Arabidopsis thaliana: one gene and its partners. The protein of the gene in region 1 interacts with the protein of each later gene in a pairwise test. Each region holds a gene or a part of one and is shown in the gene's direction. Other genes may lie near its edges. The genes, in order: AT3G49950, FBH2, NUC and IDD5.

Region 1 (6,385 bases):
CCTTGATCTTTTAGGGAAGATATCCTATTCCTAACATCCTTGTCTAGCTTTCTCATTAGTTGAGTCGGGGGAGTGTGCTTATCGCCATGTCTTCTACAATTTCTTTCTCTCCAAATTGAGTAGATTACAATCTGAAAAGAATATCTTAGTAGAAATAAGCGAACCTTATCAAGCGTGTTGTCCGTGAGCAGCCTTAGAATCACGTTCCTATCGGTAGAGAATTTTGCAGCTAGGAGTTTAGAGGTGAGGCTCGACCAAACTATTTTAGAGTAATGGCAGTCGAAGAACAAGTGGTTTCTAGTTTCTTACCTAGTTACTTTGCTTAAAAATCAGTAATTACTACAAATTTCTAATAAATGAATAAATAGGGGGGGGGGGTATTGGATCAAAGAGTTTAATTGAATTGAATTGGATACATAATTACAGATTTTCACTCATTGCAAAAGATTTCAAATCTTGTTTTCAATTCTAACGATTACATTTTCACTATTTTATTAGAATTGAATAGAACTGTAATAGAATTAAAAAAAGTACTAATAATTCAGTTTTGCTAACAACCGGACCTATTTCTTCTCCACAGTCTCCACTTGTAAATCTCTAATCACACGTTTCAAAATCTGCAATATTTCCTCCTTCTTCTTCGTCTCAAAACCACTCTCAATACTACTAAGTTTAACAGATCCCATAGCTTCTCCACTTTCCTCGCTAAATCCTCTGTGATCATTGTAGATTTCGAAACATCTTCATTGTATTCTTCTCGGAATTCACGTTGATAACGAGAGCTATCTCCGCAGCTAAGGGCGTCGATGATGATTATGCACAATGACGAGAGTACTCTATGGTGCAAAGAACCGTTTTCTGAGAACCAGTAACATTTTAGGCTTGAAAGTTTGGAGAGTACTTGAAGACAAGAATTAGGAACATCAACAATACCAACAATAGGCTTATTAATCGTGCAAAAGGGGAAATTAGCAGCTTATTAGCCTTTCCACTAGATCGAACATGCCCTTATACGACAATTTGAGGCCCCTTATATATTTTCATCCAAATCACAACTTAAAAGGTAAGAATTTGTTTTGTGCATTTTGCACTAATATTTTTATTAAATTCTTGACAAATGACGTTGTCATGAAAAATTACAAAATATTGAATAACACTTGAATTTAGTAGAATTAAGAAATTGAGAAACTGAATAATACTAGAATTTAAAAGAATTTATAAAATGCCTAATTGAATAACACTAGAATCAACATTCTAATAAATTCCGTCAAATTCATTGCTCCAATACCCCCCTCCCCCCCCCCCCCCCCCCAAGTAATTGAAATGGGCTTGAAACCATGGGGCCGGAAATTTTCACTTTGTATTATTTTGATGAAGCCCAATAGACTTTACGGAAAGACCTTAGGTTTCAAGTAGGTTTTTAAGTTTTATGAAACAGAGAAACATATACGTGTTCGTGAAGGAGAAGACGTGAAGGTAACTTGGACTATAAAGTGTATAGTGTTAGCGAAAAGGTGAAGCAGAATAAATAAAGTGTTATGCGTTATCAAGTCTACCTAATATAACTAGCTAGGGATTTCTACTCTTGTTTTCATAATCGATCTACGGACATTTCTCGGAACGTGGTCAAGATTCATGAGTCTTCTGTTTTTTATGTCTCTGTTCAATTTGGTTTAGAGATTAGTATGCTTATTTGTTTATTTCATATATGGTTATGAGAGGAGAGGCTAATGGCATATACTCTGATGTTTGTGATGGCTGCTAATATCGTTGAGGAGTTATTCACGTTGTTTCATGCGCAAAAATCAACAGAAAAAATTCTGATTATGAGCCAACTCTGTGAACCCTTATAGTGCGCCCAGAGGTTTGCGAGGCAAAATCCCGATGAACCAGAAGGAATTTTAGATCTCTATCAACAATAACTATGATGGAGCTCGTTTAAATTCATCACAGCGACAACATCATTAGGCTGCCCAACGTCTATGTCTCCTGGAGGTGATGGTACTTGATCTCTCAACCAATTTTCTTGAAAATATCATGCCTTGTGAGCGCTTTCATATTGCGCCTAAAATACCCAATACGCAATGAACCTACTTCCAAAGGCATAGAAAAAAAACTGATAATGATAATGAGATTTGTCACTATACTTATCCTATCCCTACATAGGAGCCGTTTGATTGTTTAGTCCATGTTTTCATTTTGTTTAGTCTAATGCTATATAACTTTTCTTTATCAGTCTATTGTTATATGACTTATATATATCTCAAGAGATAAGGCCAATAAATCTTCTTCTTAATTATATCTGAAGACTCAAAACATATTTTGAGTTTAATAAAATAAATAACGTCCAAATGCTACATACAAACGGACCAAATTCATGGAGGTATAAATTTAAATTATTTTTTGTTCCAAAGTGTATGCAGTGATTTATTGATGAATGCGATAGAGCGGCGAAAGAGAATAATCGTCACCTAGAAGACAAATTGATCGGCCGTACATATATACATAAATACAAACCTGCCACTTCACATGTCACCCACCTTTAAGCACCCCCTTCACATACATACTTTCTATAACAAAAATATCAGCTTCTAGTTCATATTTATGTTACAATAACTCGAGTGAATCATACTAAAAAAATGTAATGCTTTCTCTAAATAGGAGATAAAATGCACCCTCCGACCTAACTAAAGATTCCTTATTTTAGCTATTTAAGACATATTGCACATGTATAGAGATACATAAACACATATGCAATATGCACATCTTCTATACATTGAAAAAAGCTGATCTTGCAAATATTTGTCTTACACAACACAAGCGACCAAAGCGATGCGTTTCCCAATGATAAGGTTACGACATACTTACACGACTCTCTCTATTGTCTCGTCTCTTTCTTTCCTCATCCCTCTCCTTTGTCTCCTTTCACTCTATTTTTCACTTTTCAGAATACTTTTACGTAAAAATCATGGACATGTCATTGTCTCCACCCTACTATACTCTTTTTTTGTTCTTTTTGTTTCCTCTTGTGTCACAAAAATAACAAGATTAAACGTACATTTCTCTCTAAAACCAGACTCAAATGACCAAAACCCGGATTCTCAACCCGACCCGATTCCCTTCTCCCAAACCCTTACGTGGCTGCGGCGACGCTAACTTCATGGAACAGCTCCTCCTTCACTGCGCCACCGCCATAGACTCCAACGACGCTGCATTAACTCACCAAATCCTCTGGGTCCTCAACAACATCGCTCCACCAGACGGTGACTCCACCCAACGTCTTACATCCGCATTCCTCCGCGCGTTGCTCTCACGCGCCGTCTCCAAAACCCCTACACTATCATCCACCATTAGCTTCCTACCTCAGGCCGATGAACTCCATCGTTTCTCAGTCGTGGAGTTAGCCGCTTTCGTAGACCTCACTCCGTGGCACCGGTTCGGATTCATTGCAGCCAACGCCGCGATCTTAACCGCCGTTGAAGGTTACTCAACGGTTCACATCGTTGACTTAAGTTTGACTCATTGTATGCAAATCCCTACTCTTATAGACGCCATGGCAAGCCGACTCAACAAACCTCCTCCGCTTCTTAAACTCACCGTCGTCTCTTCCTCCGACCACTTCCCACCATTCATCAACATCTCCTACGAAGAACTCGGATCTAAACTAGTCAACTTCGCCACCACACGAAACATTACAATGGAGTTCACAATCGTACCTTCTACTTACTCCGATGGCTTCTCCTCCCTCTTACAACAGTTACGGATTTATCCTTCTTCATTCAACGAAGCTCTCGTCGTTAACTGTCACATGATGCTCCGTTACATCCCTGAAGAACCCCTAACTTCATCATCATCATCGCTCCGAACAGTTTTCTTGAAACAACTCCGATCTTTGAATCCAAGAATCGTAACCCTAATCGAAGAAGACGTAGATCTCACATCGGAGAACTTGGTTAACCGGTTAAAATCGGCGTTTAACTACTTCTGGATTCCGTTCGATACGACGGACACGTTTATGAGTGAGCAGAGACGGTGGTACGAGGCGGAGATAAGTTGGAAGATAGAAAACGTGGTGGCGAAGGAAGGTGCGGAGAGAGTGGAGAGGACGGAGACGAAGAGACGGTGGATAGAGAGAATGAGAGAGGCTGAGTTCGGTGGAGTTAGGGTTAAAGAAGATGCGGTGGCGGATGTGAAGGCGATGCTGGAGGAGCACGCTGTCGGGTGGGGAATGAAGAAGGAAGACGACGACGAGAGTCTCGTGCTGACGTGGAAAGGTCATAGTGTTGTGTTTGCTACCGTTTGGGTTCCCATTTAAATCAGGTTGATTTAATTTAATTAGCGTTTTAATTGGATACCTAATATAGTAGAATAGCATTGCTTTAATTTCTGATCTAATTACAATTTAATAATATTTTTTATTAACTTTTTTTTTTGTTCTAATCTAGTGTCAATTGTTTTGTACTAGTTCAAAACATTCTAACGTTGAAAAATAATCGTTATTATGACTAAACATATTTTACATCTTCATAAGCACTTTTAGTTTACATAGATATTTTTCCGTGAATAGGCTTAGTGATAACAGTGAAAACTTATTATAATAGGAAAAATTGAATAGTATATAGTTATTTAAATTTGTAGCGAGAATAAACATGTTGGAGATACAAAGTAGAGAGGATCAGATACAATTGCCTTCTTAAAATGAAGACATAAACAAAACAAATGAAAAACCAATAATATCTTCTCATCGTCAAAATGAACATTCAAACATTAATAAAACGAAAGGAAAATAGGAGATAAGACAACTTATATTTTCCCATTACCAGCTCTAGTTAAACGCACCACAATCACGACGGATGTTTCCATTGCTGCTATTCTTAACTCCAACACGGCCAAGTTTGGTCATGGCTATCACAAAAGCGCGGTTAAAGGCCGTAGAGTTTGAGGCCCAAGCATTAACGGTGGGCCTAGAGCGACCATCCGTGAAGAGAACTTGATCGGAGGTGAAGAGACCTTTGCCTTGTTGAAGATTCTTGAAGTAAGTGTTGTCAAACGTCTTGGGCGTGACTGGGTCCATGTTGATTGCAATTCTTGGGTCCACATTCTTAGGACAAGCCTTTTGAAGCTCAATAGCGTAAGCCTTGTTTAAAGTTGGGTCCACGGAGTTGATGCCGTTGAATTTGTGGATTCTTTTAAAGACCTTGCCACAATGTGCGAATCCAAGGGTGTGAGCCGCTACATTATGAATTTATCGGTTTAGACATCGATGCATCTTGGTGATATAAATACATATAACTATATAAGATGTTTTGATTTAAATTTGGTTTACCTGAAAGAGCAATCATATCTTCTTGGGTAAGTTTGTTTTTCGTGAAAAGAGCATTAAGTTTGTCTACATTGTCCGAAGGTCCTGGTAAGTTCCCTTCGACACTTGACGCGGTTGATACCAAACCATCGAACCTACCAAGTTCAACTTCATAGGACGGTCCTCCAGCCTATACATGCGTAAAACCTTGTTATATAAAACATTTCTAAACAAGCAATGTGATATACTAATATTAATGTGAAATTTTGTTTAGGATTAATTATCTGGTTATAGTAAGGCTAGTACAAATACTCACCGCAACAACAACATCTCGGGTGGCCAAAGTAAGAATATCGGCACATGAGACCTTGTTCCGGCAACTAGGGTTAGAGTCAAGGGCTTTCTTAGCTTGGATCACCACATCAAATCCATCTCCAGCTAGCGAAATGTTATCTGGATGATCCTTCTCTGCCTTGTTCTTAGGCGTTGATTGGATCATGACAGATGCATCACAACCCTACAATGCCAATTACGCCAAAGGTACCAATTAATCGCCTAATGAAAGAGGAGAAAAAAGATATGAAAACGCTTAAATAGAAACATACATTGACAAAGCAGTCGTGGAAGAAGAGACGGAGAGTGGCAGGGACGGCGACGAATGTCTTCTTTATTTTCTTTTGGACAGCATTTCTCACGATTTGTTCGACATTGGGGCAAGTTTTGGAGTAGAAACCGCGGCTTAGTTGTGCGGTGGTTGTATCGGGAAAGACAGAGATTATGAGGCAAAGACCTATGAGTAGAACAATATCGAAGCGAGCCATTGTATGGACAAAACCGAGAGAGAGAGAGTGTTGTATATAAATTGAGCCAAGACAAGAAGAATTGCTTTTGAAATGATGACGGTAAAAGGTGCACGATAAAGGTTTATATAATGATGGGCTTGAAGAATATAACGCAATATTAAAGAAGATTCATTTGTTTTAGTATAGGCTTTTGATAAAATTATTCGATTTTTGGTTAACTGCACCAGGCCTACCTTGTTCATTTCATTTATACTTGTTAGCATGATGTACTTCTTACAAG
Region 2 (7,089 bases), on another chromosome or scaffold:
AAAGCTACCACTCTCTCTATTTTTCTGCAATCACTCGTTTTATTTGTTTTATTTTTTCTTACAGTTTCTCTTTCCATCCTCTTATAATTTTGTCTAAACAATATGTGCCATACCTTCTAAACTTTTCATATGCTCCATATTTCTTCTTCGAAAATCTCTTACTTTTCTTGTTAGTATAAGCATTTTTTAAGCTCGTCAAGATGTACTCTGTTTTGTTTTCTGTTATTCTAAGAAAATGTTTTACCTTCTAAACTGGTACTTAACTCTATCACTTTTCTCTTTTGATGCAGTTTAGATCCTTTTCACCTTCACGCTTTCCAGACTGAAAGACCTCAATTTATATCTTCGAGAATTTGATTCAAATTGATACGATTAAAAACACCACTATCAAACCACGTCATTGTTACGTTTCTTTAAGTTATATTAAAAAATGTTGGATTAGTTGTATAAAATTCTAGAAAAATTCTTTCTAATGCCCTTTTCATTATGCCCCTTTTTAACTTTACCCTTTTTTTAGCCATTTTCATTTTTACCCTCTTTAGCCATTATGACCATTTTACCCCTATTTGAAAATTGTTTTAGGTTAACAAAATAAAATATTAATATTTTTCGCCTAAAATATCCAAAATAAATTTCCCGCCAAAAAAATTCGAAAAAAATTACCGCCAAAAAGTTTTTTGTCAAAACTAGTTTTCTCGCAAAAAAAATATTTTTTGGCGGGAAATAGATTTACAAGGGATTTTAAAAGGGTTTAAAAAGATTTACAAGAAATTTTAAAAGAGTTTTAAAAGATTTACAAGGGATTTTAAAAGGGTTTTAAAATATTTACAAGGATTTTAAAAGAGTTTTTTAAAAGATTTACAAGGGATTTTAAAGTGCTTTAAAAGATTTACAAAGCTTTTTTAAAGATTTTTAAAGGGTTAAAAATTGTTTTAAAAAGGTTTTAAAATATTTACAAGGGATTTTAAAAGAGTTTTAAAAGATTTACAAGGTATTTTAAAAGGGTTTTAAAATATTTACAAGGGATTTTAAAGGGCTTTAAAAGATTTACAAAGGTTTTTTAAAGATTTTTAAATGGTTTAAAAGTGTTTTAAAAGATTTACAAGGTATTTTAAAAGGATTTCAAAAGATTTACAAGAGATTTTTAAAGATGTACAAGTGTTTTTAAAAGATATTTAAAGAATTTACAAGAAGACCCTTTAAAAACTCTTGTAAATATTTTAAAATCTTTTAAAATCTCTTATAAATCTCTTAAAATACTTTTAAAATCTCTTGTAAATTTTTTAAAACCCTTTTAAAATCCCTTGTAAATATTTTAAAACCCTTTTAAAATCTCTTGAAAATATATTTTTTCCCAAAACAATTTTACAAGGATTTGCATAATCATTTTTTTGGCGGGATTTTTCTTTTTGGTGGGAAAAAAGTTTGCCAGAAAATTTTTTTGGCGAGAAAAATAAATTTTTGGTGCAAAAATTTGGTGGGAAAATTTCAGTTTCTAATTACATGTTCCTATTAGATGAGGATAATTTGGTCATTCTGTTCAAGGGAAATGGTATTTTTAAAAAAGGACAACATAAAAAGATATTGTTGCAAAAGGGTAGTAAAAAAAGAGTAGTTTTGCAAATCTCCCAAAATTCTGTAAGGGTTTAGGTTTAATATTATTTAATTATAATTATATTGCTTCCTTTTTTATAAGTTTAAATTTAATATTTGTTATTTTCGTTTTTTATTTTAAATTTTAAAATGGAAAGTAATTATTATTTTTAAAAATGTTAATTAATTAGATGTTAAATATGTTAATTATTGATGTGACAGCTTCCGATTAGTTGTTTTAAAAAATGTTAAATAATTAAATGCTAAATATGTTAATTATTGATGTGGCAGCTTTCGATTGGTCGTTCTAAATCCTATGTGGACGGCTTTAGAAGCAAATAGCCTCAACTTTTATATAGTATAGATTTTCAGTTTTTGGTGTTCAATTTTTCGATCACCGGTTTTGATGAGATTGAAAAACTCTGTGGGAATTTTTTATGGCCGGGCAACCCGAACACCACACGAGTTGTAAAAGTGCTTTCAAATTATTTTATTTATTTTATAAACATTTAAATCTTAAAAATAATATATGAGAATTAAAATTAATAAATAAAATTTTAACCATAAATTAAAAACGAAAGTAACAAAAAAAATTTAAAAAATGAAGTAATTTTTTTTTAAGATTGTAATATTTTTTTTAATAGGATGGTTTTTTATTCTTTACTTTTTTTCACCAGCGACCATTTTATTAAGTTAGGAGAACTAATCCGGAGTCGATGTACTTACATGAAAAAGAAAAAAAACTTCGTGTTCTTATATTTTTTGTTAGGCAATCAACACAGACATTGTTACAACAGAGAATAACTCTAATATAAAATAAAGACAAAAAATTTCAAAAGCTTTTTTAAAATATTGTAATTCTTCAAAAGCTTTTAAAATGTTGTAATTCTACAAAGCAGCTCAACTAAATAAAAGTTGCATTTTGCAGACATACGAAGTCGCTAATTTTTCACATATCGGAATTGGACCGAGAAGGTGGAAACTACGCGCCTCCATCGAGAGTGGTGTAAACCATAATCTATTACATAAAAAAAAAGATAACAAAAGAGACGTTAAAGCAATGTTTCTCTGTTACGCGCTGACGCATCTCTAACCTTTTTAGGTTCTGTACTATCTTTATCTTTTAGTCAAGTGTTAGAAAAGTATCTTAATCAGACGGTTAGGGTTCTTTATTATTACTAGCCGCAATTTTTTTATTGAAACAAATAAATAAAAAAATAACCCAAGAACAACAACAATCTGGTCTGCTGATGTATTAATTAAAGAAAAAAATAAAACAGAGCAAGAAACAAAAAAAAAAATGTAAAGAAAGAGAAAAAAAGCTTTCGTAGTGTCTATTGAAACCAGAGAAAAGCCAAAGGGGATGCAACCAACATCCGTCGGTAGTAGCGGCGGTGGTGACGACGGAGGAGGCAGAGGAGGAGGAGGAGGGCTAAGTAGAAGTGGACTATCTCGGATCCGTTCAGCTCCAGCGACTTGGCTTGAAGCTTTACTTGAGGAAGATGAAGAAGAGTCTTTGAAACCTAATCTTGGTCTCACCGATTTGCTTACCGGGAACTCGAACGATTTACCGACAAGTCGCGGCTCGTTCGAGTTCCCGATTCCTGTTGAGCAAGGGTTGTATCAACAAGGTGGGTTTCACCGACAGAATAGTACTCCGGCGGATTTTCTTAGTGGTTCTGATGGATTTATCCAAAGCTTTGGGATTCAGGCGAATTACGATTACTTATCGGGGAATATCGATGTTTCTCCGGGAAGTAAGCGGTCTAGAGAAATGGAAGCACTCTTCTCTTCTCCTGAGTTTACTTCTCAAATGGTAAACCAAAATTAGTTCTTAAATTAGGGTTTTCTTATACTTGCCAAAAATAGGATGAACTTAACTGACTTATTACTTGTTTTAGTTAATTTGCTGACCAAGTTCTCGAGATTGAAAAGACCAGTCTTGTCTTAAAATTGACAACTTGTGTTTTTCTGAACCAAACTAAGCAAGTTGCAGTTTCTATTTTAACTCAAAAAAAAAAAAATGGCAGTTTTTGTTGTTGGCTCTGTGGCTTTAATGTGTCAATGTGAACATTAAAGAATGCTCCTATGGGTAAAGTGTTTAGAAGACCATAAGTCCACATGATGATACATACTTCGGTGGTTAATGTGTACAAATGTATTGATTCTCCACACCTTTTGGTACATTGGTCTACTTAGTATTAAGTAACTACACTTGATCAAAATTTTGGGAACATATGTGTTACCTATGTGTTGATTAAGGTATTAGTGCTGATTTGCGCTTTTTGGAATTTTTTTCTGTAAGTAGAAAGGAGAGCAAAGCAGCGGTCAAGTTCCTACCGGAGTATCAAGCATGTCGGATATGAACATGGAGAACCTTATGGAGGACTCTGTTGCTTTTAGGGTTCGGGCTAAACGTGGTTGCGCAACTCATCCCCGCAGCATTGCCGAGAGGGTAAACAACATTCAATCTTTATTTTCAATGTTTTGGAAGTGTAGTGATCAAGGTTCTCTTAACTTTATACATTGAAGTTTAGTGATACAACTTATATCTTTACTTTCAATTTACGGATGTTTAATGATGCACTGTATGCTTCATTGAACAGAGGATTGTTCTGTTCTGGTCAGTGTATATTTATCTTTACCTTTCATTGTGTAGGTACGAAGGACGCGGATTAGTGATCGGATAAGGAAGCTACAAGAGCTTGTACCTAACATGGACAAGGTAATATAATTTTCAGCTTAGGTATAATCTGATGACCTCGGTTACACAATTATATTGACTAGAAATAGGTCAAAGATTATCTATGCTTAAATCAAGTGTAGAAGTTAGAGGTCAAATTAAATATGACTGTTAATGGTTGTGATGCAACTTCAGAGACACGGTTCTCAGCTCTGTAACTAAGTAATTCACAAACTGTGGAATGGATCTTGATATGGACTTGAATTGTTGTCACCTCGATCAAATAAGTATGAACTTGGTTTCCTCTCTATAGATTATGAACAAACTGAGGAAAACTTTTGGTTTTGGTATATATGGAGATTTGGAATCTAGGCTTTGAGTATATCGGTTAACTTTTTTGTCTTTGTTGCAGCAAACCAACACTGCAGACATGTTAGAAGAAGCAGTAGAATACGTGAAAGTTCTTCAAAGGCAGATCCAGGTAAATTATCTAAGTTAATATATATACACACAAAACCTTTTAGAGGAACCCAATAGATGAATTAAAAATGATTAGTCAACAGTATATAGTAAAAAGAGTTATGAGTTGGTTTATTTTGGTGTGGATAATATAGGAGTTAACAGAAGAACAGAAGAGGTGCACATGCATACCTAAGGAAGAACAATAAGGTTTGCTCCTGATTTGTTTTATATTTGCTTAACGGCAATGATCTGATCGAAAAATTCGAAAGATGATCTTAGCTTGAATTTAGATGGATGTCATGTTGAAAAGTATATTATTTGATAAATGGATGTAGGTGTAATATAAAATTTTTGTACAATAATGAAGAAAGTTAAAAAGAATTAATGAAAACATATATTCTTTATGATATTAGTGAAATGACTTTGATTTCATGTTGTTTGATTATAGTAAAGTATTTTCAAGATGTGTATTACAGTGTTTTTAAAACTCATTCATACAGTTACAGCTAACATACTAGATTACTAACCATCATGGAATAAGATTGCTTAGTGGTGCAACCAATCCGCAACGAGTTTGCAAACGAGGACAGAATTGCTCGATGTTTTGTCGAACCGGCAAGATAATCGGGTCTTTGTTTATTGCAGTGTAGATTAAATCTTATAGCGAAAAAGGGTTAATCATCTTACTAAATCCGCTGCAATCAGTTTCGAAATAAATCATTCCGCATACCGCGCTACCAAAAGTAGTGTAGTGTCAGGAGTTCTTAGTGTAAAGACATGAAATATATTTGAAATCCTTTCAAACCAATTAGATGAATCTGGTTGAAGCCATCAAATTAAAACCAAACTGGCTGCACATTTTTGTTTTGGTTTTCCATGAACCATCAACTTGAAAACAAAGAACAAGGGAGTTCAAAACATAGAAGGGATGATAAGCTCTGGAACGACTCCCATGCCTTCACCAATGTACTCTGCTACACCTAATCTTGGACTCGCATCCACGCTTTGAGTTCATCTCGCAATCACAAAATATTTTGTCAAGGATCTGGTTTCTACATATTTAGTATTGTTATCGTTCCTCGCTTTCGAGTTATACCAAGCTAACCAAGGGTAGAAACCACTATGTTCCCTTGTTCCATCTTGATTTCGAACTCTCCATAATAGAAAGTCTAAATTCGTGAATACGGAATTCGTTGGGAACACCACATGTGCTGATGGAACTGAGTCACTATTCTAGACTCTTTGTCTCAGCTACGAGCTAGTCAGAATTAAGAGTATATTTTCCTACTCAATTAGATCTTGAATTTTTTCGGTTTATATTCCACCATTTAGCCTCCTGGTCAATCAATGAATCAACTCTAAAATGGGGATATCAATCTTGTAATCAACCAAAAAAATAAATTCTTACAGTAAATTATGAAGATGATTGTCTTTCTATTTTTTCTTTTATTGTCCCGCTATAACATTAATCAAACTATAGCATAGCACCTATCATCACACGGATTGTTTCGTCCCATTCAACAATTTTTGGGACTTTGCCTACAATTTTGCACTCTCAATTCTCATTAGAAAAAAGAAGCCTGAAAATTATCAGAAACATCTAATTTCAATAAAATTGAGATGAAAAAATAACTAGCTTGCTATAGTTCAAAACAAAATTCATAGATGCAAACAGAAGAAGATTCACAAAACATCCAAAAAGACGTAGTAGAATAACGCTTCTCTTTAATGAACTTCACATCCGCCAGGATTTCAGATGACCGCTCGATAGCTTGGTTGAGAATCTTCCTCCTATGAAAAAGAAACTCTTCAGTCTTCTAGAATCTTCTCCAAGCTTCTAGACTCCAAGCCAACCGCCATAAACTGACTTTACGAATTTCCATTTGTTTGCTCCACGATGCTCTGTTTTCTTAAACTACTTTGTGAGGTACTTTGACTTAGTACAGAAACTCCTTCAGAGGTTGCATCTTCAACTGAATCATCAAGCAACCATCACCAGATTAATTGAAGTAAAAAAGGCTCGAATCAAACCAAATCAGCATTTGTTATTCACATGTTGTTTACATGTATGTCACATACCTAAACTATGGCGATCGTGATCGAGAATAAGATAACATCGACGAGTCTGAAAACTATGGTCTATGTGTACAGTGTATATACTATGTAAATGTTCCGAACATTAAGCGTGGTCTTTATGCCAACCTTCTTGCTCATAATCCTTATGTTCATATAATAAACTATGTTTTCAACATCTTAAATCTATCCAGTCCGAATAAATTCACTTCACGGACTAAGTTTTTGTTGGAAGAGATAGATTCTGATGGAAAAAGGAATATAAATATCAGCTTATT
Region 3 (7,496 bases), on another chromosome or scaffold:
GTATGTTGTTGGAGTATACCTAAAGAGCACGTGCATGGGTACACGTGCATGGCAGGCTTTGTTCGACTTCGACAAACAAGAGATGTGACCATAACCGTTGGATCTGTTTTACCTCTTTCACATATTGTGAAAAATTCTGATTCATGAATAACTAACAAAAATGACTATGTCCGTATATGATATCTGATGGGAGTGAATAGTGATCCCGTTAACTGTGTATTTAAACTGAATACAACTATTGCAAAGAAAAAGGTGATAGATAAAGTTATAATTTTCTTATTGATCACTAATGTCAATCAATTTTTTTAATACATTGTTTTGTTACTTATACTGCATACCTTCAAATTAATAAGCATTATAGAGATTGTGCAATTGATAAATCAGATTAATGTTTTTATTTGTTGGCAAAGCAAATGTATCTTATTGTAACTAGATATACATTACAATACTTTGTAAACATAATTCATTTAAGATAAAATTTACGGATATATAAAAACATATATATATATATATATACATATAACAATTTCTTTATGCTATCTGTATCAAAGTACTCCTTGAATCCAAAAAGATTAACTACACTCCACTACAGCCTCATCATTCTTTAGGCAGATTGATCGATGCATTTCGTATTATATACTCTACAAGCTTGAAAAAATCACAAGGCGTACACAATTTTGATCTCCCAGTAGTTTGTTTACATATGCGTAAAGCCCTTTCTAGTGCCTAATATTGTTGTATCTAGATTTTTGTTTATTTTTATTTTATTTTTGGCAAATGAACCTTTGATGCTACGAAAAGATCTTCTAATAAACTGTTCCTTTTGGTAAATAACTTCACATTTTATCCCCAAAAAAACATATAGAAAGAAGTGTAAAAAATAAAATAAAAAACAAAAAAAATATAGTAAGATTGTTTTTTTGCACTGAGTTAACATGAGCATGTAGGAACAAAAAGTAAGTAATTATTGGACCCAAAAAACCAGAAAAAAAAATGGAGAGGAAAGGGCAACACAAAAATAACGAGATAATCATTCTCAATAGAAAAGATAGAAATATCAACTTTCTATGTGTCATAACGCACTACTACAACAAAATTACTTCGAATATCTTGGTAATTTAATTACATTTTTTAACAGCTCGCTTCGAATTTGCAAGGCTATTAATCGATTTTTCTAAGATTTAATATAAATGAAGCATTTGATGCTGTATGATGCATAAATACATGATTATCATTTGTGAAAAAATGTAATTAAAATTACTCTTAGCAAATACCATGTCTATACAAAACTAAGGATGTATGAACATGAAATAAAATGAATCAAACTAAAAGAAAATTGTTTATTATATTGAAATAATTCATAGTGAAACTGCAAACATAGGGTGCCTATAAAGTAATCAAGGGATGTTAAATTTTTTCTATCTCTGCATTTTGAAATTTTATTGGCTCTGCTGCTATCACTTTCAGCTTATGATTTTCCACCGCCATCCACTTTGCTCTTTTAAAATAATCTCATAAAGGAAAAGAAAAATACAATTAACCACATATTTTAATCAAAATGGCTGCAACAGTTTAACATATCAAGGTGCTAATATACCCACACACACACACTTATATATAGGAGCTAATATAGAGTGGTATAGGTTAAGACAAAAGCCATATATAAGTGGAGAACCCAATATATCTTTGTCTTTGTTGTTTTTTCCTTCTCGTTCATAGTTAACTTGCAGATTTCTTAGTATTTCTAATCTTTTTCTTATATTAACCTTTTGTCTCCTTCTCTCTCTCTCTCTCTCTGAACTATACAAAAACCTACTTTTAATTTCTCTTCCAAGAAGTCAAGAACCCAGAAGAAGACATGACAAGTGAAGTTCTTCAAACAATCTCAAGTGGATCAGGTTTTGCTCAGCCACAGAGCTCATCAACCCTGGATCATGATGAATCTCTCATCAATCCTCCTCTTGTTAAGAAAAAGAGAAATCTCCCTGGAAATCCTGGTAATTATTTATATTAAATCTCAGCTAGCTTGATCATCACCTAAAAAGAAAACCCTAGTATCTTTTCTATTTTTTTGCCCCCTATAAATTAATTTTCTTGGGTTGTTTTGTTCTGGATCTTGACCTAAATCAAAAGTAGTATTTGGCTGCATGAGTTATAGATCACTGGCTCATGCTTAATTAATGTGAAAATACTAGGCCTTTTAGTAAATTAAAACTTTTATTTGATCTATAGAGTTCTTCTTTTTTAAATCGCATTATAGTTTCCATGAGAAAATATATTTACATACCCTTTATTATTATTACCTCCACCAAGAAAAGCACACACATTATTTTTACTAAAGTACATGATCCGATCCAAAAATAGATGTTGTTTTCCGAATTGACCTAATTAAAGAAACCACAAATGTTAATGATGATCCACTTAGATCCGGAAGCTGAAGTGATAGCTTTATCCCCCACGACCTTGATGGCTACGAACCGGTTCCTATGTGAGGTATGTGGCAAAGGTTTCCAAAGAGACCAAAACTTACAGCTTCATCGGCGAGGACATAATCTTCCATGGAAGTTGAAGCAGAGGACAAGCAAAGAAGTGAGAAAACGTGTCTACGTTTGCCCCGAGAAGACATGTGTCCACCATCACTCCTCTAGAGCTCTAGGCGATCTCACTGGAATCAAAAAGCATTTTTGCCGGAAACACGGGGAGAAGAAGTGGACGTGCGAGAAATGTGCTAAGAGATACGCAGTCCAATCTGATTGGAAAGCTCATTCCAAGACTTGTGGTACTAGAGAGTACCGTTGCGATTGTGGCACCATTTTCTCAAGGTACACTTTTTTTTCTTTCTCTGTCAATTAAATTAAAAATAAGCTTCATGTATATATGTGTTGTCGTTTGTATTGATCATGTTCGAAAGCTATTCTATAGTAGCTTTATAGTATCTACATCTTCGTTTTTGTCAATATGTAGTTTGATTAAGTTTTATAAGTATGTTTTGTCATTTCCTATGTGTTTGTTTATCTCTTTTGAAGTAGGGTAAAGTTTCTTGCTTGGGAAAATGTTTTTGTTAGTGTCATGATTGAGGCAAAAAGTGGTATAAATTTATAATAACCATGATGAACATATAACATAAGCTAGATATAATAATATATACAAATAATGGAGTACTTCATGTGTGTATGGTTCAAAATGGTAACATTATTTATTACTTAATATGCGGAAAAAGTGTCAACACAAGATTGACACATCAATAGTTATGTTACGGAAATATGTACTTAGGTTTTTCTCTACTTTTACTGCTGCACATAAAGAAAAGGCAGCTAAATGTTTTCAAGTATTTTCATCAGTTAAAACTTTGATATAAATGCATTGAGATAAATGTTGATTAAGACGTTAACTAATGGTGGTTTTGGTTGAAACAGGCGAGACAGCTTTATCACTCATAGAGCTTTCTGCGATGCCTTAGCGGAAGAAACCGCTAAGATAAACGCAGTGTCTCATCTCAACGGTTTAGCCGCGGCTGGAGCCCCAGGATCAGTTAATCTCAACTATCAATATCTCATGGGAACATTCATCCCACCGCTTCAACCATTTGTACCACAACCGCAAACAAATCCAAACCATCATCATCAACATTTTCAGCCACCAACTTCTTCGTCGCTCTCTCTATGGATGGGACAAGATATCGCGCCGCCTCAACCGCAACCGGACTACGATTGGGTTTTTGGAAACGCTAAGGCAGCGTCTGCTTGCATTGATAATAATAATACTCACGATGAGCAGATTACGCAAAACGCAAACGCAAGTTTGACCACTACCACTACTCTCTCTGCCCCTTCTTTATTCAGCAGCGACCAACCACAAAACGCAAACGCAAATTCAAACGTGAATATGTCCGCGACAGCTTTACTACAGAAAGCTGCTGAAATTGGCGCTACTTCTACAACAACCGCAGCGACCAATGACCCATCAACGTTTCTTCAAAGTTTCCCGCTTAAATCCACCGATCAAACCACCAGTTATGACAGTGGCGAAAAGTTTTTTGCTTTGTTCGGGTCTAACAACAACATTGGGTTAATGAGTCGTAGTCATGATCATCAAGAGATCGAGAACGCTAGAAATGACGTTACGGTTGCGTCTGCCTTGGATGAATTACAGAATTACCCTTGGAAACGTAGAAGAGTTGATGGTGGAGGTGAAGTGGGTGGAGGAGGGCAAACTCGGGATTTCCTCGGGGTTGGTGTACAAACGTTGTGCCATCCATCGTCTATCAATGGATGGATTTGAAAGAGTTTAAAAATTTCGGGGTTAATGCATAAATTACGTAAAAGAAGAAGGAATCTTTTGTCATTTCCACCATTTTCTAAGATAACATATGTATATGGTAATGGAAGTTGTTTTCTTTTATTAATTCAATATTCTAAAACTTATGATATATGTATAATGAATGTGTTTATCTTCAAGATATATGTCAATGACATTCACAAGACATTCATAATCTTTTGAATTTTTATCATACGGGAAGTACATTTTAAATGTAACCTTAATTTTTGTAAGTAATTACATAGGTATGCCATTAGAAATAAAATTTTAAAGAGTAAATTAATTTATCTCTATAAGGATTAAAAAGTCAAATACTAATTTAATTAATTAAATTAATTAAAAAACGAAATACATTATTAATTTTCAAAAATAATTGCCAATCAAAATCAACATATAAGATTTGATATCTAAATTTTAATTAATTTAATTTAATTAGAAAAACGAAATACATTATTAATTTCCAAAAAAGTAACCAATTAAAATCAACAAACTATATTTGGTATCTAAATTATCATATTAATTTTTTATTAATTATTATAGTTCATTTCTCATCTTTATATGATTCTATTTTTACGGAAAAATAATATCATCATTATAAAAAAATAATTAGAGTTTTTTCGCATATGCCATAATTTAAATTTTTAAAAACGAATATAAACTGTTCAATACATGAAATAATATTATAACGGGTGAAAAATATATTTAAGAAAACTTTCTACTGAGTAACGAGACATAAATTTGAAATATTTATATTCAATTTCATACATATTATATTGAAAATTTATAATCTTATATACTACAATAGTTAATAACATATTAGATGTGATTCAATTTTTAATACAAGCTGGAAAATCCTAGAATTGACGGGTTTATATCGATATTAATACAAGATGGTATACTACATGTGAAACTCTTAAATTAATAATCAAACTACAAGTGTATAATCTTAAACACTAAACAATATAGATAATATCAACAAAACATATACAACTCACAGTCTACTATACATTTAAAATCAAATAAAATAATATCATATATTTTTAAATCATCTTTACAATAAAAGTTTTTAGTTTAACTAAAATATAAGCCTACCTGCGATATACTGCAGATTAATCTCTAGATTATAGGACTTATTGGATCTAAAGACGGGTCATCAAAGATTTCCTAAACTGAAGCAAAATATACTGAATATTCAAATATCTATCTGTTACCAAATTATAAACAAATAACTCAATTTGATATTTTATATATGAAATCAACTAAATCTTAATCACATAAAATTAGCACAAAAAAAAAGTATTCAACAATTAAAAAATTATCAAATCTCTGTGTTATATAAGTTTTGATACTATATTTGAATAAAGTGTAATATACCTTTTTAATTTGTATTCTTTAACTAATTTAAGCTAACTAATATATTTGCTAATCTTATATCTATCAAAACCGACTATCGTTTCTTATCTCTATAGTATTTTTGCAAGACTTTTTTGGTGGATTTGGATAAAAATACATTCGGGTCATATGGTACATTCCCCTATTAAATAAATATGGTGCACTCCTATGTTATTAGCTAAAATATTTAGATTATAATTTATAGTCATATCATTAATAAAACTAATATTAATAAAATAGATAACTTTTTGGCAAGACGGATTTGGAGGGACGGGTTTTTGAATCAACATTAATAAAAAAGTAAAATATAATTAATCCACCGTTTCAATATGGATTAAATTTTTAATTTATTATTTTTTGAGACCACTAATATTAAACATATCAAATCATCCTAATTTAGAAAAAAATATATAGAACCAAAAATGTTATGTGGTATGTATAATGTTACTATATATAAAATTAAACTATAAAATATAAATGTATTAGAGAATGATACAATTTGCAAAACTTTTATATATAAAAAATAATTCTAAAATTATAAAAATTACTACTTTAAAAAAAAATCATGGGACGGGTAAAAAAATTACAGAACATGTTTTTTTTTTGGAATTGGGTTATATGGTGGATGTATTTGAATCAATATTTATAAAATTTTAAAATATTATTAATATGCTGTTTTAATAGGGGTCAAAACTTCAGTTTTTTTAACAATTGTCTCATGAATTCGTGGTATAACGTTACTTAATAACAATTATAAACTGTAAAATATAAATATTTTGTAAAAATAAAATTTGCAAGTTTTAGTATATATTACTTTTAAAAATAAATCGTCATGCGGTATACCGCGGGTTAAAATCTAGTTTTCTTTTAAGAGGATACTAATATAACAATTATTGTAAGACAATAACCACAATGGTTTATAATTTTATATTATGATGTAACCTACTTTAACGTTTTTCGGAAAATTTACTATAAATAAAAGTTTTCGTATTCAAAATCTCCCCTTTGCCCCACTCATGTTATTTTTCGCATCATGTAAATGACATTTGACTCAGCATCTCTATTATATTCATCTTCGAATTTCACTATTTATCTTATTCTCCTAAACAATCAACTTTATTGAATCAGGGTAATAATTAATTATATTTATAGTGTTCAACTCTTTTTCCATGGGATGCATTGTCTATTATATTGAAATCATATAAATGGGAAATGGTGTAAAGTTTGAGCATCGTCATTTAACCCAAAACACACATAAAGTTAACTAAGTTGTATCATCGATCAAGAGACTGATTCACGTATATATTGGGTCAAGGAATAAAGGAATTCAAAGAAATAATCTGGTTTTATAAGCATATTCGGTGCAGAAGATAAAGTGAAGATCCATGCATATTCTCCATTAAAGAGTAAGAAAGGTCTTTTCTTCTTGTATGCAAGAATATACAAAAACAAAAAGCATAGATAGAGTGGAGAAGTGGTGGCTGTGGGGACAATGAAAGGTGGAGACTTTTGAAGCTCAATTATTAAAATCATAACCCTAACTCGAAGGCAAAAATTTTATACTTTATAGTGGAGGAAAAGAATAGGAAAAGAGAAAAAAGCTTGATATTCCTAGCTTAGGCTTTTTCCACCTTTTATCTTATCTCCCTTTTGCTCTCTCATGAAGAAAATTAGATTCAGTCAAATAAGAAAAATAGAAATTAAAAATTCTCCAAAACACTTTTAAGTTTTCTTCAAAATTTATCGACAATATAAACAGTGGCGGTTCAAAAATATAATTGAAATGA
Region 4 (10,366 bases), on another chromosome or scaffold:
GGTATACCGCGGATTAAAATCTAGTGACCATTTATTCATAAAGTTTTTCACTTCAAACACTCTAAAATATAGAATTTTTAATGATATAATAAATTGTCAATTTTTAAGCATCTTTTCATGATATTGTTGTTAAAATCAATCACTTCAAAAATTCAAATACGTTTCAAAAATTCAAAAAATCGAAAATTTTTATATGTTTATTACTCTTTACTAAATTCAAAAATATATGCACCATCTTTTAATATTTCATGATATATATTTTATTTTTAATGATATCAATCACTTCAAAAATTCTGCAATTATTTGCTTTAGTTAAACTAATAAATATACTATTTTTAAAATATTTTAGTATTCAAACAAATGTTAGTTATACTTAAAATAAATATAAGAGATTTATAAAATCTCAATGACTTACACACAAACAAATTCATAACTGTATTTCAGATAGCTATAAAAGATTTATAACCTCGCCATGACATACACGTAGACTAATATTTATTAGTCAATAAAAAAATTCAACAGTCATTATGGAGAAATTTTTTAAAAGTAACTTATAATTGACAAATATTGATTTTTTATTATTTTATTTTTAAAATTCCTTAGTTTTTTAATTTGAGTCATTTTACAACCACCACTTTTAAAAATAAATAAGAAACCCCTATGCTTATTAAAATTTATGTAGTCTAGTACTCTTATTTGTTTAAAAATATATATATACAATTAGCATCAAAAACAATTGGAAAATTATAGTAAAAATTATTGGTTTAAAGTGGTTAATAAAAATTTTGATATCTTATGGATATATTATCTAATCATTTGATTGACCTATATATGATTGCATTTGATATCTTACTACATTGGCTATATATCTTTTCAAAATTTGCTAAAATCTATTAGGAAAATTGTCATTGGAACTGATATTTACATGGTGTATATATGAAATGGTTGATTTGTTAACAAGCCAAAATTAAGAGTTAGATTTAAAAAGTAAACGAATTGATTGGACCAAATTAAGGGACTTATTCTGTGATTTTTTTTCATTTTCTTTTGTTCTCACACTTGGAGGTTAAACTGGTAAATACTAAAATAACTAATTATTTTATTATTATTTTAAAGTAATTTAATTTATAAATGGTAATTAAGTCTAACACCTTTTGTCCAGTTATACAATTAGTCAATAATTTACTTTCTTTGAAAGTAATTAATTAAAGTAGTTAATGATTTTGCAAAACTGCCTAAATAACACCTAAATTTATTCTTAACCCATCTATGTATATGTTTACTATGTATGTATATATATTTATATATATATATATATATATATATATGGCCCTCTACTTCATACTTAGAAGCAAGAAGCTCATAGAAATTTACTTCAAAAATTGACCTCAAACGACAAGCTAAAAGAGGTGAAGTTCTTTTTCCTATCTTTTATTTTAAATATGGCTCTGTTTATATATCTATATTTATATATTACTTACTGTTGATTTGAAAGAAATTTTCTATTCGAATATGTATGTGAGAGGAAAGGATATGGTTCAAGTGTCATTGTTATCGGGAATGGCAAATTATATTCCTTTCCTCAAAAAATTTAGCATAACAAAACTAATTATCCATCATATAAAAACAATCACATCGTATTTGTTTTCTATTGTCTTATGCTAAACAAGTTTTATATATAACTCATGCTCACGTTAACGAAGACCCATACAAAAATGGGTTGATTTTCTTGATCTCCTTCATTGGAGAACATGACTGATTTTCAATAGTCACTAAAGTATATACATAGATATATACTATATAGTTGTTTTTGATATTTTAAATGGATAAAAAAAAAGATGACGGGATCTATCATTTGGGAAATTATTCATAGATTTATTTAAATAGTTCCTAACTAATTGCTTGAATATGGGAAGAGACGACGAAATATAGTTAAAAAATTGGAGTATCCTTTTTGGTTTTTACTTTACCATATACATGAAAAATATATACAATCATTCTTCTTTTTGTCTTCTTTTATCTTTGGAATATTTCTTTTCACATTCAATCTTCCATGACACACAGACAGACATATATATATGTGTGTATGTATGATATGATAGGAACTTTTTAAAACCAAAAAAGAGAGACCCATATGAGATGATGATGACGATTGAGACAAATAATTATTTTGACAATTTAAGAAAAACATAAGATGCTTTGTGGATTAACTTTTGAAAATTCAAGAAATCTGTCCCTATATATATGAAAACATTAGCTTTAGAATACAATTTTATGAGATTTATTTAGTTTATAGTTTATAGTTTTAAATTTATATTTATGTGTTATTAAAATTGTAAAATTATATGAAAACATAGTCGCTTAGTTTTACAACCGCTAATTTATTTCAAACTCAAAATATTATATTTTTATTCCTTCTTCGGTTACGTATTTTTCTTATGAGATATTATATGGTCAAACATTTAAAATTAGTTAAATGTTACATACACACAAATTCCAACATTTTCATTTCTTTTTAAGGAAAAAACCATTTCATTTCTTTAAGATATATAAAACCAAAAAAATTATGTTTTTATATAGCTTAGATCGTGATGCTAAACTTTTCTTGTAAGAGCAATCTCGTATAGATATTTTATGTTAGTGTCAAATATCTTCTTCTACAATTTCTAAAGTCATATTACACTATGGTAATTGTTTTCTAAACCCTTTTAGATCCAAAAAAAAAAAAACTTGAAATTTATTATTCACATATGTTAGCGAGAGAGAGGAGCTGTTGAGGGTTGTCTCACGCACCATCCACTGTCGTTTTGTGGCAAATGGATTGGGTCCACCGACCTCTGTAGCTCTCATAGTTTCTTTTTTTTCTAAAATTAATTACATATTTAGAAAAAATGATATCAAAAATAATTAATAGCTCTGTATATGTGTTAGTGTCTACAGGCGACACCAAAATTATATAAATATTCTTATTTAAATGCGTTACAAACAAAAGAAAAATTATATAAAATTTTACAAATAAATGTATAGAGTTTTTAGTATCATATGTATCATACATATGAAATTAGAGCTATACCAAACTAACCAAGCTAGATTTAAATTCAGTTTGATTATCTTACCCTATTTTTTTAACCGAATATGAACTTTTAACACTCTAGGCTATAACATTGGGTGGTGACTTATATTTCTTCTTTCTTTTTACTAGCCTACACTCTTTTTCACCTGTCACTTTCAACTTCTCTCTTCTATTACCTCACAAGAATTTCTATGTTTTTTTAATAATTTTATATCTATTAAAAAAAGTATAACCAATTAATTAAAAATCTGGAATATCCCAATTTTAGGGCTTTATTGAGATAAGATATCAGTGGAAGTCAAAAAAGAATTTAATGTTAAAGAGTTTCTTCTCTCTAATTTCATTTCATTTCTCTTTTTTTTTTTCTTTTTCTTCTTTCTCTCTCTCACCATCACATAGAACACAGAAGAATCCATGGCTGCTTCTTCATCCTCCGCTGCTTCCTTCTTTGGAGTCCGACAAGATGACCAATCTCACCTCCTCCCACCTAATTCCTCCGCCGCTGCTCCTCCTCCTCCACCTCCTCACCACCAGGCACCGCTGCCACCGCTTGAAGCTCCACCGCAGAAAAAGAAGAGAAACCAACCAAGAACTCCAAGTAAGTTAATTACCTCTTAATTCAAATCTTTTATAATCATGTGATCATTTCTTAAAAGAACTTATTGATTGGTGAAAAAGATAAATCCCTTTTCCATGTCCTTTTTTTTCTTCTCCCTTTTACATTTTTTAAAATCTTGAAATAAGCAAATTAGCAAACCCTAGCTTGTAGTTGGTTTTTCAAAATTCAGATTTCAATCAATTTATCTTCCATGCAATATAAGACTTTTAAAATTTAGTTAATAATTTTCCTCTTGATTAGATTCCGATGCGGAAGTGATAGCTTTATCTCCAAAGACACTAATGGCTACAAACAGATTCATATGTGAAGTATGCAACAAAGGGTTTCAAAGAGAACAGAATCTACAACTTCACCGAAGAGGACACAATCTTCCATGGAAGCTCAAACAGAAATCGACCAAAGAAGTGAAGAGAAAAGTGTATCTTTGTCCGGAGCCCTCGTGCGTCCACCATGACCCGTCACGTGCTCTCGGAGACCTCACCGGAATCAAGAAACATTATTACCGTAAACACGGTGAAAAGAAGTGGAAATGCGATAAATGCTCTAAGCGTTACGCTGTTCAATCGGATTGGAAAGCTCACTCCAAGACTTGTGGTACCAAAGAGTATCGTTGTGACTGTGGTACACTCTTCTCTCGGTTAGTAATCCAAATCTTTCAAACTCTTTAAATTATAATTTAATCTATTGAGCTGCTATAGTGATATGTGTGTGAATATGTGTCTGTGAGTCATTCTTCATGAATTAGGGTTTTTTTTAGGTTCACTTTCTGTTTCGCCTCGAAGTCTTCGATGCTCTTATCGCTTTCTTTCGTGCAGTAAATGCAACTTTAGTTTTTTTTTTCTTTTTTTTTTTATAAAAAAAAATGATACAAGAACACACGTGAATGTGTGTGTGTGTCTATATAACTATATCTATAGATGACACTGAAACTGCCATATTTCAATAGATGCTTTCTAGCAGAAACTCAAAACCAAAGAGGACCAATTTCAATTTCAGTTTTTTTTTTAAATATTCTTTTGCCTTGGAAACACCGCCCTATTTTCTGTCATAAAAATAAATTAATATATTTTTCTCAGGATTTTTTTTTCTTGGATATGAAATTATACTTATACTATATGGGCAATTCACGTGCTGCTAAACTATATAATATCTAGGGAGGTTGTTGTTACAGTGTTTGTTCTCTTATGTGTAAAATTTTACGAAAATACAATTATTTCATATGATTCGTTTGTACTCTGTACCATAGCCACATATTAGTTTGGTTCACTACTCTACACATTTTGCATAAAATGGCATAAATTTGCATAGACGTGATAACTAATAGACTAAATAATTATTTCGAATATAGAGTTTTTTTCTCAGTCTTGGCTGGCATTGCTGTGTTTGTGTGTGTGCGTGCATTTAGAGGAGTTCTATAAATAGAATGAAGTAAATAAATATGTGGTGCTGCAAATATATATAAGTAGCTAGTTTTCTTAAATAAAAATATAAGTAGTTCATTGAATACATGCTCAACTTGCATTTATTGAACATACAAGATCTTGAATTAGGACAAACTCAGATATTCATTTGACAATCATTCTCTATACATTAGTGTGAAACTTAACTTTTTCCACCTACCTTTGGAATTCGTTGAATACCACATTAATTTATTATATAGATAGCTATATTCATAGTTTCATACATAAATTATAGTGAATTAAGCATAATAGTTTTCCGGAGTTGATTAATAATGTTTATGTTTATTATTATTGCATAAACTGATATTGATAAGAGTTAGATTTGTTCGTACACATAGTCATATAGACAAATACATCATCATAGTTGAAATGTGACACAACATTGTACTCCTATTTATGTGTATGCGTGCAATTTTATTGTATGCATCAAACATGTGAGTGTGTAAGCTTGTTAAGAGTTTACACAGGTGAATAATAATATGATGTATAATAGAGTAGTAGAGTGACTTTCTAGCCATCTATCTACTTTTCAAGATCCCATAATTACACGCGAATCTATTTGTAGCTACGTGACATGATGAGTCTCTCTCTCTACTTACATTTATATTTTTTTTCTTTCACTTTTCCCAAAATATGTCTTTTATTTCATCATTTTATATGAATAGTATAGAGATATATCTGACGATCCAATAGATTCCATTGTGAAATTGATTTTTATTTATTTTATTTTGTGTCACAGGCGAGACAGTTTCATCACACATAGAGCTTTCTGTGACGCGTTGGCTCAAGAGAGTGCGAGACACCCAACTTCATTGACTTCTTTGCCAAGTCATCACTTCCCGTACGGACAAAACACAAACAACTCCAACAACAACGCTTCAAGCATGATCCTTGGTCTGTCCCACATGGGGGCCCCACAGAATCTTGATCACCAGCCCGGTGACGTTCTCCGTCTTGGAAGCGGAGGAGGAGGAGGAGGAGCCGCTTCACGCTCTTCTTCTGATCTCATTGCTGCGAATGCTTCAGGCTACTTCATGCAAGAGCAAAACCCTAGCTTTCATGATCAACAAGATCATCATCATCATCATCAACAAGGGTTTTTGGCTGGGAACAATAACATCAAGCAATCACCAATGAGTTTTCAACAGAATCTGATGCAGTTCTCACATGATAACCATAATTCTGCTCCCTCCAATGTCTTCAATCTCAGCTTCCTCTCCGGAAACAACGGAGTTACTTCTGCCACAAGTAACCCTAATGCTGCCGCCGCTGCTGCTGTTTCTTCTGGTAATCTTATGATATCAAACCATTATGATGGCGAAAATGCTGTTGGAGGAGGAGGAGAAGGAAGCACTGGTCTCTTCCCTAACAATCTGATGAGCTCGGCAGATAGAATTAGCTCAGGATCAGTCCCTTCACTCTTTAGCTCATCAATGCAAAGTCCAAATTCAGCACCTCACATGTCAGCCACTGCCCTTCTACAGAAAGCTGCTCAAATGGGTTCAACCTCAAGCAACAACAACAACGGAAGCAACACCAACAACAATAACAATGCCTCATCGATCCTAAGAAGCTTTGGGAGTGGAATCTACGGAGAAAATGAGAGTAATCTTCAGGATTTGATGAATTCTTTCTCTAACCCCGGCGCAACGGGAAACGTTAACGGAGTTGATTCTCCTTTTGGTTCGTACGGAGGAGTGAACAAAGGATTAAGCGCTGACAAACAGAGCATGACTAGAGACTTTCTTGGAGTTGGACAGATCGTAAAAAGCATGAGTGGAAGCGGAGGGTTTCAACAACAGCAACAACAGCAACAGCAGCAACAACAACAACAACAACATGGAAATAGTAGAGAAAGAGTTGGCTCGTCGTCGGATTCCGCTGATAGAAGCAGCATGAATGTGAATACCGGAGGTGGTCCGGCAAGTACTTCACCACCTTATGGAATCCATCATGCGAGTTTCTAAGAAGATAAAAGAAGTTTCTAAGGAGAAATTTTAAAAAAGGTTTTTAGTTCATCAAAGTACATGCTATATCTTTCAGGTATGCATGTCGTCATCAAAACCCCATTTGAAGTAATTAAAATTTTAGTTGCAATTTATCTAAACTCAGTTCTTTTTTTTTTTTCTTTTGTAAAAGATTTTGCCTTTCATTGTTTATATAAAATGGATTCCCTCCTGAAAAAAACAAATTTCAGAGTTATAGTTTATGGTTTCACAATGAAGAAATTTTCATATTATTATCCGTAGATTTTTTTCTTCTTGCCTTGTGACATATTAGATACTTTAAGAAATTCAATATATTTCTGGCTTATAGTTTTAGAGTCAATGCTTAGTCTTTGTTCTTGTATGTATTATTTCTTATAGGGTCAAAGGCTAAAAACAACATTATACTAACGGGTTTAACTATAAAAAATTTGGGTGTGAATAATTGTTTTTGATAGGAAAAAAATGTTTTTTTATATTTGTTTTTGGCTGACACATTTATCGTCTTATCATTGCATGGGGCAGTCAATGAGTTGGAGAGTACAAGCAGCCTTTGCTAAGTTTTTATTTGTCTTTTTGTTTTCATTTTCTTTTATTTGCCTTTTTATTCTTTAATTTCTTTTCATTTGTCATCTTCACTAGCTGGCAATGTCACGAGTGTTTGTCCTGTGATCTCCTTTCTAAATATCTCGATACATGTATACATATACATGTCACATAGGTGTCACATGTGCATATATTTATGCATTTGTATAGTTCTGTATGTAACATGTTCCTACCATATCCTCAAAGGATTGTCCCCATCATATTTTAAATTTGACGGTCCAAAATAAACAATTCTGTCTCAACATTCACGCGTCTTCATTATTGATGCTAATTTGCGGTTAAAAGTTGTAGCATCAATTGAAACTGCATCTAAGGTACAATTTCGATTTTTGTATGGAATCGTGTATATATTAGAATACATAAGAATTACAGTTTTAGTTTTTAAATTTTGTTGTTACTATTTTTTTTAGATTGGATATTGTATTGTCTCTTACAAATATAACTATTCAAATGATTTAATAGAACTTCATTCAAGTATTTTGATATTTCGGTGTATGATGGTTGATATTTTCTTGGATTTTTAGCTAGTTTTAGATATTTTTTTTGTTAGAGATTTATTCTATTGGTGTGCGTATGTGAACATATCATTACACTATTGTGAGTGACAACATCTACAATTGTTGAAATAACGATATTAATAATGGTAATATAATGTCTTTGTCGTAATAATTTATAAGGGGAATAACAATAATAGTTAAATTTCGTATATATAATGTAGGGACATACATGCAAGTGATGGAAGTAAGGAGGCCCATCGACATGAAACGAGAGGGAGAGATTATATCGTTGTCTCACCAAAAACAGACAGCTCTTCTCTCATCTTCTTAATTTCCCCTGTTTCTTTTTCTGTTCTAAAATTGTTTTGCTTATAACCTATTTTTTTCTTGGTTAAATAATCCATGTAGAGAAAGTAGATTTTTACCATCAACGACACCCTGCTTTAAAATTAAAAGCGTAAATTTGTTATATTTTATCGTTCAATTCTATCTTTTGTAAACTAATGCACATTTACCAATTGGTTATTTTAATTTTTTTCGTCAATTTACCAATTGGATGTTTTATTCATGAATCTGAATGTTTTGTTTGTAGTAAGCTTGTGCAAAACTCTTTACAAAGAGCATGTATATTTTTGAAATTAATTGATTTTTTAGAAAAAAAATTGTTTTAAAAAATTATTTTTTTAGGTTCTCTATACACTATTTATTAGTTATCCCTTTATTATTAAAAGGGAAGTACAAATTGAAATTTTGTCTAATTTGGCCTCAATTTTGATTTTAATTTTAGATTTTGTTCTTTGCTATTTAAAATCATTAAGGATAATTTGGTCTTAACAATCTCCTAAACTTTATATGATCCGATTGAATCTAAACCGTTCAATAAAATTAATTCCCTTTTAATCTAAACCGTTCAACAAAAATAATATACAAATCATATATTACGATTCTTCACTAATCACTAAAAATTTATATTTATAAGTTTAGGATATCAAATTTATTCAAATATTTAGTATAAGAACCAAATAAACCGATTGCCCGCGGTAAATTGCGGGTTAAAACCTAGTTATTAATGAATTTTAAACTTCAAGATAAATAATTGAATATCATTGGTTTAAAATTATAGAAAAATATAAATCACAAAAATTAATACATTATTTTTAATATAATTTTTATATTTTTAATTTTTTTTTTAATAGGTGTATTTTTCTAAAAAACTAATTTAAAAAAACATAGGGAATATTGTGTTAAATCTCATTATTAAATGACCGTTTAAGACATATGTCTCGGTATTGTAAACCAATCAAAATAATTTTTATACTGAAAAGTGTTGTTTCGAACGAGTAATAATCAAATTTATAACTTCAAATTCTTAAAAAAAATATATATATTCATTATTTTCACTTAATTTCTTAAATCACCTTCTGATTTATCGATTTTATACCTTCACCAACTGAATATACTAAAAAAAAAAACAGATTTCATTAGTCTTCTTACTATACACTTCCTTTTGATAGATGTTAAAGTTATATGCCAATGGATCCAAATTTGTGATTGATTCAAATGGAATATATAAGCATATTATCAATGCATCTACTAATTAATAGTTATTGTATGGCCCAATTAAAGATTTCCCATAATGAAGTGGACCAAGAACAAGCAGAAGAAATCTCAAGAATTTTTGTAGTATTCATAAACTTTTCTCGACAATCTCTTCACGGGCCATTTTTTTTTCTATCTTTCACATGAACGACAACTCTGTCATTCACATGCTTTACCCTTTTATTTTTCTTATCCATTTCAATTAATATAAATCCACATAACAACTTTATATATATATATAATCTCTCCGATTCACAAACTTGATTATTGTTTCTTTCTTTTACTATTGAAGAATCTCCCTGAGAAACATAACCCCTGTATTATTTTCTAATGGTTGGAACTCCATACGGAGCATACCCCACTAGAGAAAAACACACACAAAGAGCTTCAAGATCTATCATATGGATTTGGAATTGTTTCTTTTTTCCTTTTGGTAATTAAAGACTAGTATGAACCAAAAGAGTATTTATCAAGTGAGATCAGTTGTTTATAATGCTACTAGAAATTTTGGTTAATTGAAAGTTTAT

What was found.
Region 2: the proteins of AT3G49950 (region 1) and FBH2 interact in a two-hybrid assay, tested with the Arabidopsis thaliana proteins (one large-scale study listed by BioGRID).
Region 3: the proteins of AT3G49950 (region 1) and NUC interact in a two-hybrid assay, tested with the Arabidopsis thaliana proteins (one large-scale study listed by BioGRID).
Region 4: the proteins of AT3G49950 (region 1) and IDD5 interact in a two-hybrid assay, tested with the Arabidopsis thaliana proteins (one large-scale study listed by BioGRID).

The regions. Positions count from the first base shown.
Region 1 is NC_003074.8:18,519,488-18,525,872, forward strand, and holds AT3G49950 (GRAS family transcription factor), read left to right. Parts: upstream 1-2,978; 5' UTR 2,979-3,082; coding exon 3,083-4,315; 3' UTR 4,316-4,447; downstream 4,448-6,385. Other genes in the region: AT3G49960 (Peroxidase superfamily protein), read right to left, coding at 4,826-5,232, 5,327-5,492, 5,619-5,819, 5,908-6,123. UniProt on the Arabidopsis thaliana protein: Probable transcription factor involved in plant development.
Region 2 is NC_003075.7:5,844,557-5,851,645, forward strand, and holds FBH2 (basic helix-loop-helix (bHLH) DNA-binding superfamily protein), read left to right. Parts: upstream 1-2,755; 5' UTR 2,756-2,956; coding exon 2,957-3,409; intron 3,410-3,901; coding exon 3,902-4,048; intron 4,049-4,252; coding exon 4,253-4,318; intron 4,319-4,688; coding exon 4,689-4,757; intron 4,758-4,890; coding exon 4,891-4,944; 3' UTR 4,945-5,207; downstream 5,208-7,089.
Region 3 is NC_003076.8:17,771,233-17,778,728, forward strand, and holds NUC (C2H2-like zinc finger protein), read left to right. Parts: upstream 1-1,623; 5' UTR 1,624-1,858; coding exon 1,859-1,997; exon of another isoform or gene 1,998-2,403; coding exon of another isoform or gene 2,404-2,425; coding exon 2,426-2,822; intron 2,823-3,416; coding exon 3,417-4,281; 3' UTR 4,282-4,517; downstream 4,518-7,496. UniProt on the Arabidopsis thaliana protein: Transcription activator that binds to the DNA sequence 5'-CTTTTGTCC-3'. Regulates photoperiodic flowering by modulating sugar transport and metabolism. Regulates SUS1 and SUS4. Transcription factor that regulates tissue boundaries and asymmetric cell division.
Region 4 is NC_003071.7:502,036-512,401, forward strand, and holds IDD5 (indeterminate(ID)-domain 5), read left to right. Parts: upstream 1-3,339; 5' UTR 3,340-3,487; coding exon 3,488-3,671; intron 3,672-3,932; coding exon 3,933-4,329; intron 4,330-5,891; coding exon 5,892-7,119; 3' UTR 7,120-7,195; exon of another isoform or gene 7,196-7,430; intron 7,431-7,662; 3' UTR 7,663-8,057; intron 8,058-8,461; 3' UTR 8,462-8,746; downstream 8,747-10,366. UniProt on the Arabidopsis thaliana protein: Transcription factor acting as a positive regulator of the starch synthase SS4. Controls chloroplast development and starch granule formation. Binds DNA via its zinc fingers.